Daphnia pulex: one gene and its partner. The protein of the gene in region 2 interacts with the protein of the main gene of each other region in a pairwise test. Links are inferred from orthologs where the notes say so. Each region holds a gene or a part of one and is shown on either strand. Other genes may lie near its edges. The genes, in order: WD40 repeat-containing protein SMU1-like and protein Red-like.

What was found.
Region 1: the proteins of protein Red-like (region 2) and WD40 repeat-containing protein SMU1-like interact in binary tests that used the Caenorhabditis elegans proteins (3 or more experiments, as listed by UniProt). The link is inferred for Daphnia pulex from reciprocal best matches to the Caenorhabditis elegans genes smu-2 and smu-1.

What each region holds. Positions count from the first base shown.
Region 1 is NC_060024.1:13,654,676-13,659,101, reverse strand, and holds WD40 repeat-containing protein SMU1-like, read right to left. Parts: upstream 2,900-4,426; 5' UTR 2,777-2,899; coding exon 2,751-2,776; intron 2,684-2,750; coding exon 2,617-2,683; intron 2,533-2,616; coding exon 2,389-2,532; intron 2,320-2,388; coding exon 2,205-2,319; intron 2,136-2,204; coding exon 1,717-2,135; intron 1,654-1,716; coding exon 1,430-1,653; intron 1,355-1,429; coding exon 1,060-1,354; intron 984-1,059; coding exon 831-983; intron 764-830; coding exon 665-763; 3' UTR 606-664; downstream 1-605. Other genes in the region: BTB/POZ domain-containing protein 17-like, read left to right, coding at 1-72, 157-447. UniProt on the Caenorhabditis elegans protein: Involved in pre-mRNA splicing as a component of the spliceosome. Selectively regulates alternative splicing of unc-52 exon 17.
Region 2 is NC_060027.1:2,116,167-2,120,552, reverse strand, and holds protein Red-like, read right to left. Parts: upstream 2,808-4,386; 5' UTR 2,671-2,807; coding exon 2,661-2,670; intron 2,594-2,660; coding exon 2,563-2,593; intron 2,489-2,562; coding exon 2,318-2,488; intron 2,260-2,317; coding exon 2,098-2,259; intron 2,031-2,097; coding exon 1,758-2,030; intron 1,687-1,757; coding exon 1,128-1,686; intron 1,062-1,127; coding exon 906-1,061; intron 838-905; coding exon 587-837; intron 525-586; coding exon 494-524; 3' UTR 305-493; downstream 1-304. Other genes in the region: flocculation protein FLO11-like, read right to left, coding at 3,029-3,109, 3,174-3,343, 3,402-3,657, 3,722-4,386. UniProt on the Caenorhabditis elegans protein: Auxiliary spliceosomal protein that regulates selection of alternative splice sites in a small set of target pre-mRNA species. Selectively regulates alternative splicing of unc-52 exon 17.

The DNA of each region.
Region 1 (4,426 bases), on a different chromosome or scaffold from region 2:
ATTGTCTGGCAAGGAAATATCGAAGTTCCAGAAACAGTTTTGCGTACAGTAAGACTGTCACTCATGCTGAAGGTCGTTTCATCGTTAATCTTTTTTTTTTTTTTTTTTAATTTGATTGAAGCGCCATTCTGAATTGTTGAACTTTTGTTGATGCAGGACCCTATTGAAGCTCACGTCCGTGTAGCTGTACTGGTTTACGGTGTACACGGCGGAGTTGAACATGTGCGAAGCACAACGGTCCGGAATTTCATCTTCTCGCAGGAAGAACCAGTGCTGCGATATGACAACTTACTGACATACTCGGACATCAATCCGGATCGGTTCGATTGTGATCGGCCACAGCCAAATAGTCCACCATCGCCTTTCCTGGTTGGGCCCAAGCGTGACACGCTCAAGGTCCAACTCATCATTCTACCTCAGCGACCTTACAAGCGACGGGAAAGATGAAAACACCTTAAGTGGAAATACGGGCTAACAACGAAAGAGTCAGGAACCAAGAGAAGCAGCACAAAATTATGAATGAAATTTATGCCTTGTGTTTCACCATCATGTTGTTTCAACTCCAATCTGTTGACTCTTTGCTGTGAAAATCGAAGAGTCATTTCTAGCTTCACAAAACGACACCTGTATTTTTCCTCGTTCAAAATAGATTCGTCATCAAAGTTTAAGGTCGCCACATTCTCAGAAATCCGTCTTCACTGTAGGTACATAGGAGATTTTGATGCGGGTGGTGACTCATGCCTATGACTTCTTTCTCGTGGACCTAAATCAGAAATGGAGAAATGAGAACGACAACTAGCAGCGAAATTACGAGAAAGAATAAAAAGTACCGTTAAAGTTTTTTCGAGTTTGCCTGATGCGATGGAGAAACAATAGAGCACCATGTCTTCACCGATGCAATAAATCCATTCGCCTTTAGGTGATAGGGTACAGCAAACAAAGTCACCACCATCACGCTTACCGCTGGTGAATGATCTGACAATCTACGCGTATTTTTTAATAAAGAACGAAATGGATTATTTTAGCGTTAGGCGATTAACGTTTAGATATTTCTCTTACCTGTCCCTGCATATTCATGATAACTACAGTACTGCTCTTATTGCTGACGATAAACTGCTCTGGGTTCTTGGGTAGGAGGGTGATGGTGTGAATCGTCAAGTCACCGCCTGATGAACCGCCCAGCGATTTGTACGTGGAGACGCACTCGCCCGATTTCATACTCCAGACTTTGACACTGCCGTCACAGGAAGCACTCAACACGTGATGACCATCGGCTGTGAAAATGGCTTCGTTGACGAAGGAAGTGTGGCCACGGAATTCTTTCAGAGTCTTGCCCGATTTTAAACCGTGGACTCTGCAAATAAAAGTTTAAGAATCAGCAAAGATCGTCGATTATTTTTCACAAAAAGATGGGAACAATTGCCTTTACCTGACGGACATGTCGAACGATCCTGTCAATAGCTGGCTGTTATCTTTGGAAAACTGCATACTGGTCACACCTTTGCTATGGGCTTTCTCAAATTTGCGTAGGCACTGGCCAGTCTGAATTTTCCAAACTTTGATTTTGCCATCTTGAGAGCCACTAGCAAGCATTTCAGAGTCACGACTAAAGGTTAGGCAGAGAATAGCATCTTCCATCATCATGAAATTGTCCTGGAGATAAAAACAAAAATATGTTACAGTGATTTGAAATTGAAGGGTACATTTCTTGATTACCTGAGCTTGGTATTTGAGATCTTTACGAATCTTTCCGGTGGTAAAATTCCAAACTTCAATAAAGCCGTCAACAGAGCCGGTGACCAGATACTGTCCGTCAGGTGAGAATTTTGCGCATTCGACGTGAGACTTTTGTCCGAATTTGATGTGTTTAGTCAACTGAGTAGGTGGCTGTTCCTCTTCTTGTTCTTTGATGGCAGCTTTACCTCTGAAAAGATCGATACTGGTACCGGGAGGCAAAAGTCCTTGATGCTGTTGCCATTTCAAAGATTGCCCGAGTAGAGCGAGTAGACGAGATGGTGGTACCACGGACACTTCTCCACTCAGAGCTTGAGCAATGGCTGCTCTCCGTTTTTCTTTACTGCTTCCTTCGGGATATGCTTCCCTGGTGTCAAAATAAGACCTAGCCAGCAGGTTTTCTATGGAAGACGAACAAAAAGAAATTCATCAATTACTGATGGTGGGTTGACTAAAGAAGAAGAACTGACCTAGATTTAAATATCGATCAGGTTCTTGCTGTTTCATAAGGGCCATAGGATCTGTCTGACGCAGCAGTGATCTGGCTGCCCCCAACTCACGGAGCTCTATCAATTCTAAAACGACCTAGCAATTTGTTACCCGTTATTATTATGACTCTAGAATTTGCAAAGATTCTTGATGAGTGATTGATACCTGTTCATAAAGGTCAATTAATTTCTTGTCTGGAAGTTTAAGAGATTGTGTTGCTTTTAAAACTGTATCCCAATGGCCACTGAGAATGTCATCTGCAAATGATTCAACTGAATCGACAGTGTTGAGAGAAATGCCTGTTTCATCCTACATAATGAGGAAGATAAAGATTTGTTTAATGAATATTGTTTTCGGCTACATTGAGTAAGAAAACAAAAACCGGCATGGTACCTGGAGCACTTGGAGGGTCCTCATCAAGTTAGACTCTTTCAAGAACTGCTGGATGAGACGAATAACGCTAGAAGATTAAGGAAATGCATGTTACATTAGGAACTCAATGTTTTAAAATGTATGTTTGTAATTACTCGGCTGATTCAATTTCAATAGACATTTTCAGAAACAATTTTTAAGAATTTCCAAATTGTAAACCGATCAGCTTCTTCTGTCACAAGTTTGTTTGTTTCAAGAGCCATCTAGAGCTCACTTTTAAAACTAGAGAGTTTCGTGCGAAATTTGAAAAATCAAAGAAAGTAAAGCTGCCAAGTTGGACAACATTGTCTTTTAGAGGTTTTATTAACCTTATAGTTAAATTACACCTATGTTCTTAATCTAAGAAATTAATTTGGATTTGATAATTTCAATGAATTGTCTATTTAACAAACTTTGGTCTGGGATAGAGTCCCAATCAAGAAATTTACGATATGCTATTTTAATTGTCGCAAAATGGGAATTACAGCCATTCATAAAATGTAGTCAAATAGCTTATTATTAATTCGATGAATTGCAAGTATAGCCATAACAATAGCAATGACTATAGCCCGAATTAGTAACCTACCTTCGTCTAAAAGAATTATATGTATACGTTTGTTTTGACTTGGATTTGTTTCGCCATTATATTATCGATCCGAGTCACGGACAAGCTGTCCTCAATCCGTTTCTTATTTTCTTTTTTCTTTTGTCCAGACGGCGAGCCATGAATGATTCATTCGTGCGCAAATTCCACAGATTTGGCCGTTCATTTGTCATTGGCTGTATACCGGTTCGCCTCGACCGTTGGTCGGCAAGTTGCGATATAGTTTATCCCCTTTCCCATTATATTATGCACCGACAATATGAAATACCTTGATCTCGTGCCTTTATTGCAGAGATAAATGCTGCCAACGGAATATATCGCTTATAGTCCCGATGGTATTTGAGCTGAAAAGATTGGAAATAAGGACAGCCCCCCGAAAGTCCTTGCGACATCCTTCAATTATTACAGCGCGGGGAAAGTTGTGGAAACCCTGTCAACATTTTTCTTCCGCAGCAGTTAATACAGCACACACTATACGGGCAGTAGAAAATCTGGTCGAATGGAAAGGCAGGAAAAAAAAAGAGAGATATGGAACAATGGAAATCATAGTAATCATAATAATAATAATGAAAGAGCGTGTGTGTATTTAATCAAAAAGTTGGCCAGTTTTCCCCACCACGCGCGCGACTCTTTTTCCCTTCCATTTGTTGAGTAATCACAGGAAAGAAAAAGCTGCTGGCGGGGCTGTTAGTTTTGCGATGACATAACACAACATAGTATATTCGGTGAAAAAGGGAAAAAGAAGTTTGAAAAGAGAAACACACCACGCGGGCTAATAGAAAGAAAAGAGAACCTATATATGAAAGAATAAGAGAGAGAAATAGTAGTAGAGTCGCCCTTAGATTTTTAGAAAGCGAGAGTGATTTCGCCTCTCTCCATCGTCGCTGCTGTGTTATTTCCATTTCCATTTCTTGTTTGTCTTGCCCTTCACCTAGATCACCATCCGTGCAACAGACCAGCAGAGACCTGCATTAGGGCGACCGAGCGACCACTTTTGGTCTCGAATGTCTTTGTCCTGTGCTGGCTGGCTGGTATAGTGGCTCTCTCTTCGTTGTTCACCGGCAACAACTCGCCGGATGAGCGCCTTGTAGTACCTTTTTTTATTTCTTGTCATACCTTAAGCTTAAGCTGCTTTTTATGGCCCACTTTTCCTCCTCCATTTTCACCTCTCGGCTCGGCGAGGTACGG
Region 2 (4,386 bases):
AAAACTCCTCCCAAGCAGCCTTTTTTCTTTCCATCCATTTGGCCCGTTGCGATGAGCCCAACCCCTTCATTCTTCTTGATAGACAAGATTGACAAATAGAGTTGTGCCATAATTGTCACATGCCCTCTTTCGATGCTCGTTGGTGTGCTTTGTGGTGGCTTTCATGTGTGTTTATCCTTTTTCTTTTTATATGGGTCAGTCTTTGACGAACCACTATATACTTTTCTCACTTTCTGTCTTGTTGAATATCTTTTGGTCCACAAAAATAGTTTTTGTTTAGAAAAAAAAATGGAATGAAATTGACTGATGCTCTGGAATTGTTTCACTGCACTTGTGATGAAATATATATGAAGCTAGTGAGGGTACGAAAAACAAATCTTTTCATTCACGATGGGTACCTAAATGAATGCAGTTAATTGGGAACATTAGAAAACATTTTCGCGGTCAATACAGTAGAATATGGTTAATGAAGGAAAACCAATGATGAAAAATATCAATTACGACGAACAGACTTCTCCGGTTTTCTAAACGAATAAGAAATCATGAATTATACAGGAAAACATTTTGAAATAATTATGAAACTTACTGTGATTCTCCCGATGGACCTCCTTTACGCTTGTGTAGGATAGATTGGATCTTCTGCCATTCTCGGTCCAGTTCCGCTTTCTCCGTCTTATCTGTTTTGACAACAGTCTTGTTGCGCGTCTTGCGTCCGTCGGCCATCTTGATACCATACTGATAGGCAGCTTTAGGAAGGGCTTCCTTTTTGTTCATGTAATCACCATACTCTTCCGCTGTATCAAAGTCCCATCGACCGACTGGTCCTTTTTTGTTGCCCTGAGAAATAAGTTTACAAAAAGAATCTGTAAAATCAATTTTCAATCAACGTTTTAATCATTTCTTACCAGGTCCATTTTTGAGTAATCGGCTTCATCGTCCGAGTCTTCAAGAGCGTCGTTCATTTCCTCGAAACCAGGATAGCATTCGGCATATCCTTCAGGTTCAGCGGATAGTTTAGAAAGCATTTTATCTGCCTTCTTGGAAGACCCACCATCTCGTTTCTGTGAATCAATAGACAATCAATAACTGGTAAAAGATGAAACTCAGTATCATTATTGAAAACTTGCATCAGCTGCTCCTGGTTTTAGCAGGGCACCCAGAGTCCGTTCAGCTTCCAAAACTGCGGCGCTTTTCAAAGCATCCTTGGACTTGTCTCGATCAGCATCTCCGTCTTTATCCTTGCGGGATTTGTCGTCAAAGTAGTCACGCTTGTCACTTCGCCTTTCCCTGTCACGTGAACTACTAGAGGCAGTTTTCTCCTTTGTCGGGGCCACATAAGTCCCGATATTGCTGTAGATGGTGTCTTCTACTATTGTGGATTTGTTGACTTTCAGGCCGGGGATGATTTGCGGGGGTGGCATGTCTTTGTTTTCTTTGGGCTTTTTGAGCTTTTTGCCGATTTTTCCTTGCCGGAGGTACGATAAAATTTGCGTCAGCTTATTAATGACAATGTCATTTGTAGACAGAGTGGCTAAGGATTCCAGTCCGGGGCAATCAGCTTTGCTTCTCAACACGGTCGTTGGTATGTCTGACTCGGCATTCTCATCTTCTAACTCGATAAGATACGCCATTCGACCAGGAAGGAAATGTTCGTTTCGCTCAGGTGGTTTTGATCTGAATACGGCCCTGCATTTTAAAATAAATAAAACAATAAATTAACTCATGATCATTTCAATGATATGAAGTTGAAGTTTTACCTAAAAATGTTTTTTCCTATAATTGTTTTAAACTGGATCTCATCGTCACCTTCCTTCTTTTTCTCGACTTCCTTTTCTCCCTCTTTTTTTTCGCCTTCAACAGCCTGTTCGAGTTGTTCGTCATCCTCTTCTTCAAACTGCTCCATTTCACTGCGTACTTTCTGGAGAAGAGCATAATCGAGACCTTTCACCAAGTGAGTGTGTTCCATGTCACCACCCAAAAACTTTGATTCTTGGATCATTTGTTTCCTTCGTTCAGCAGCATCCATTGTTCTGTAAAAGAAATTTGATTCATGTTGATTGTTTGAAGTTTTTCAGTAGAAAAGTATGACTGTAGTACGATTTTATATCTGGTGCTACAGCACGATAAGCTCCAAGTGTCGCTAACGCATCAGGGCCAGAAGCTTCGCCTCCATCTCGTCTTTCTTTAGCACGATCGCGATATTTTTTTGCAAGTTCAGCTAGAATTTCTTCTTCTTCTTTTTTCTCTTTCAAGTATTCACTAAAATTATTCAAAGACGTTAACAACTATTAATGCATAGTTTGAATGAGTGTCTCACCTTTTTTTAGCTCTTTTCTGGTCACTTTTCCCATGTGTTGTTTTACGAACACTACTCTCTCCTCGAACAGACCCCATCCCCAAATTACTTGAAGAACCTGAACCTGATCCAAATCCAGCACGAGGTGTCATCATCAACTTTCGGAAGTCATCGTTTGTCAACCTGGAGGATCTACGGATTAAAAAATAAAAACAATAAGCTACATTAATTTGGAACATGGTCTAAATGAATGAATCATTTCTTACGCTTCCCCAGGTCCAGCGTCCTGCCCATCTCCTGAAACGAAATTCAATTTAAAGTTACTATACATTATTTCAATAAAAAATTACAGCAATGATCTTACTGTCAGGCATTATTAGGCCGATAGATAGTTGAATTCACAATGAGAAAACAAAATTTACAAAAACTTTGCTTGCCAAAGCCAAACAGTTCGAAACTTCGAACTTGTCGAAACAACAGACGAAGCAAACTAACGTCGTCTGCTAAGTCTACGGGAATACTAAACAGTAGCTGAAGGAAAAACAAAATAAATAAAAACGCGGGGAGTATGAATTCTGAGCATTACGCCAGTGTATTTTTCACATCATTATTTCTGCGTTTTTGTCATCGGAATTATAACAAAATCAGTACCATGAAACGAAATCATTGTAGTATTCTTTCAAAGCCTACTTAAAAAGTAGATAAGTTTCACACAGAGAAAATCTCTTCATATTAGCCATTGACTTTACACAAAGCCTCTAAATTAGGAAGCTGACAATAAGCAACTTCACCGTTGAGTGATCCCCCAACCATCTGAAATAAAATTTCATTACTTCAAGCCTCAGGATTTTCAAAAATAAGTAAACCAAAACAATACCTTGCCATTGACGATTTTCATACATGTGATTGTCTTCAAGGCCTGCCCTGGCAAAGTGATAATTCGAGACGGCTTATGCAATGTATCTATTACTCGAATAACTCCATCCATACAGCCAAGGATGAGATATCGGTTCCCTTCAAAGGACGAACTCACAGCCGCAGAGGGAACTAAAACATTTGAAAATTTTAATTACTTTATCGGAAAATTAACTCTACACGTTCTTACGAGTTTCCGTGATATACATATTATCACTATTTGTGTCGAATTTAAAGAGGTTCTTGTTGGCGTCGCAGCAGAACACATAGTGCGAGGTACTTGACATACAGTAAAAAGAACTGCTCGGAATGTTTGAGGTCAATGTGAAGAGAGCATCTTCCGTATCCAAGTCATAAACAACGGGGTCCATTCGCCTCGCTGCCACAATGATTGCTCTTTTTCCCCGAACGTTTAGTATCTTCATACAAATGACTTCACCATTCGCCTGCAAAAATAGAAGCTTTTGAAATTGTTCTAACTCGTAACTTATTTTACCAAATCAAACTTACTTTAAATTTGTTTATCCGGATACTATTGATTTTGGGATTATAAGTGAAGATGGTTCCTTCCGTAGTGCCCACATAGAGCTTTGTGATAAATTTGTGGCCCACTGCACACGTCAAAGCATGTTTACAAAATCTTTCGTGGATCAAGGAGCCACTGTCTAATGCAAACTGTCGAATGTGTGCGTCTTCACTGCCCGTGATGAGCGTCAAGTGGTTGAGATAGTCAGTAGTGGACTTGATCGACTTCATCACCTCACCCGACGTGTTCAATGCGACTCCGTACAACCAAGTAACCGGCTTGGTGTGACCCAATATCCGCATGGCGAGCGCATTCGTATTCAAATCGTAAATGTGGACCGTCCCATCTTCTGAAGCCGTGAATGCGCACGGCCCACAGATGTACACGCACCTCACCGACGATTCGTGCGACCTCAATAGAATCGGATTAGATGAATTCGTTCGAGGGGCTGTTGTGGTAGTCGCTGGTGTTGTCTGTTTGGCAGTAGTGGAGGAACTGGTAGATTTTTGCGTGGAAACTGAGGGTGTTGCAGTAGCAGCGGCATCTTTCCCCTGGCTAGGTTCAGTTGTTCGAGCCGATAATCTACCAGCTGCTCCAGAGACTTGAGGATTGACTGGAGGACAAGGTTTTGGGGTAGTGTTTTTACTGC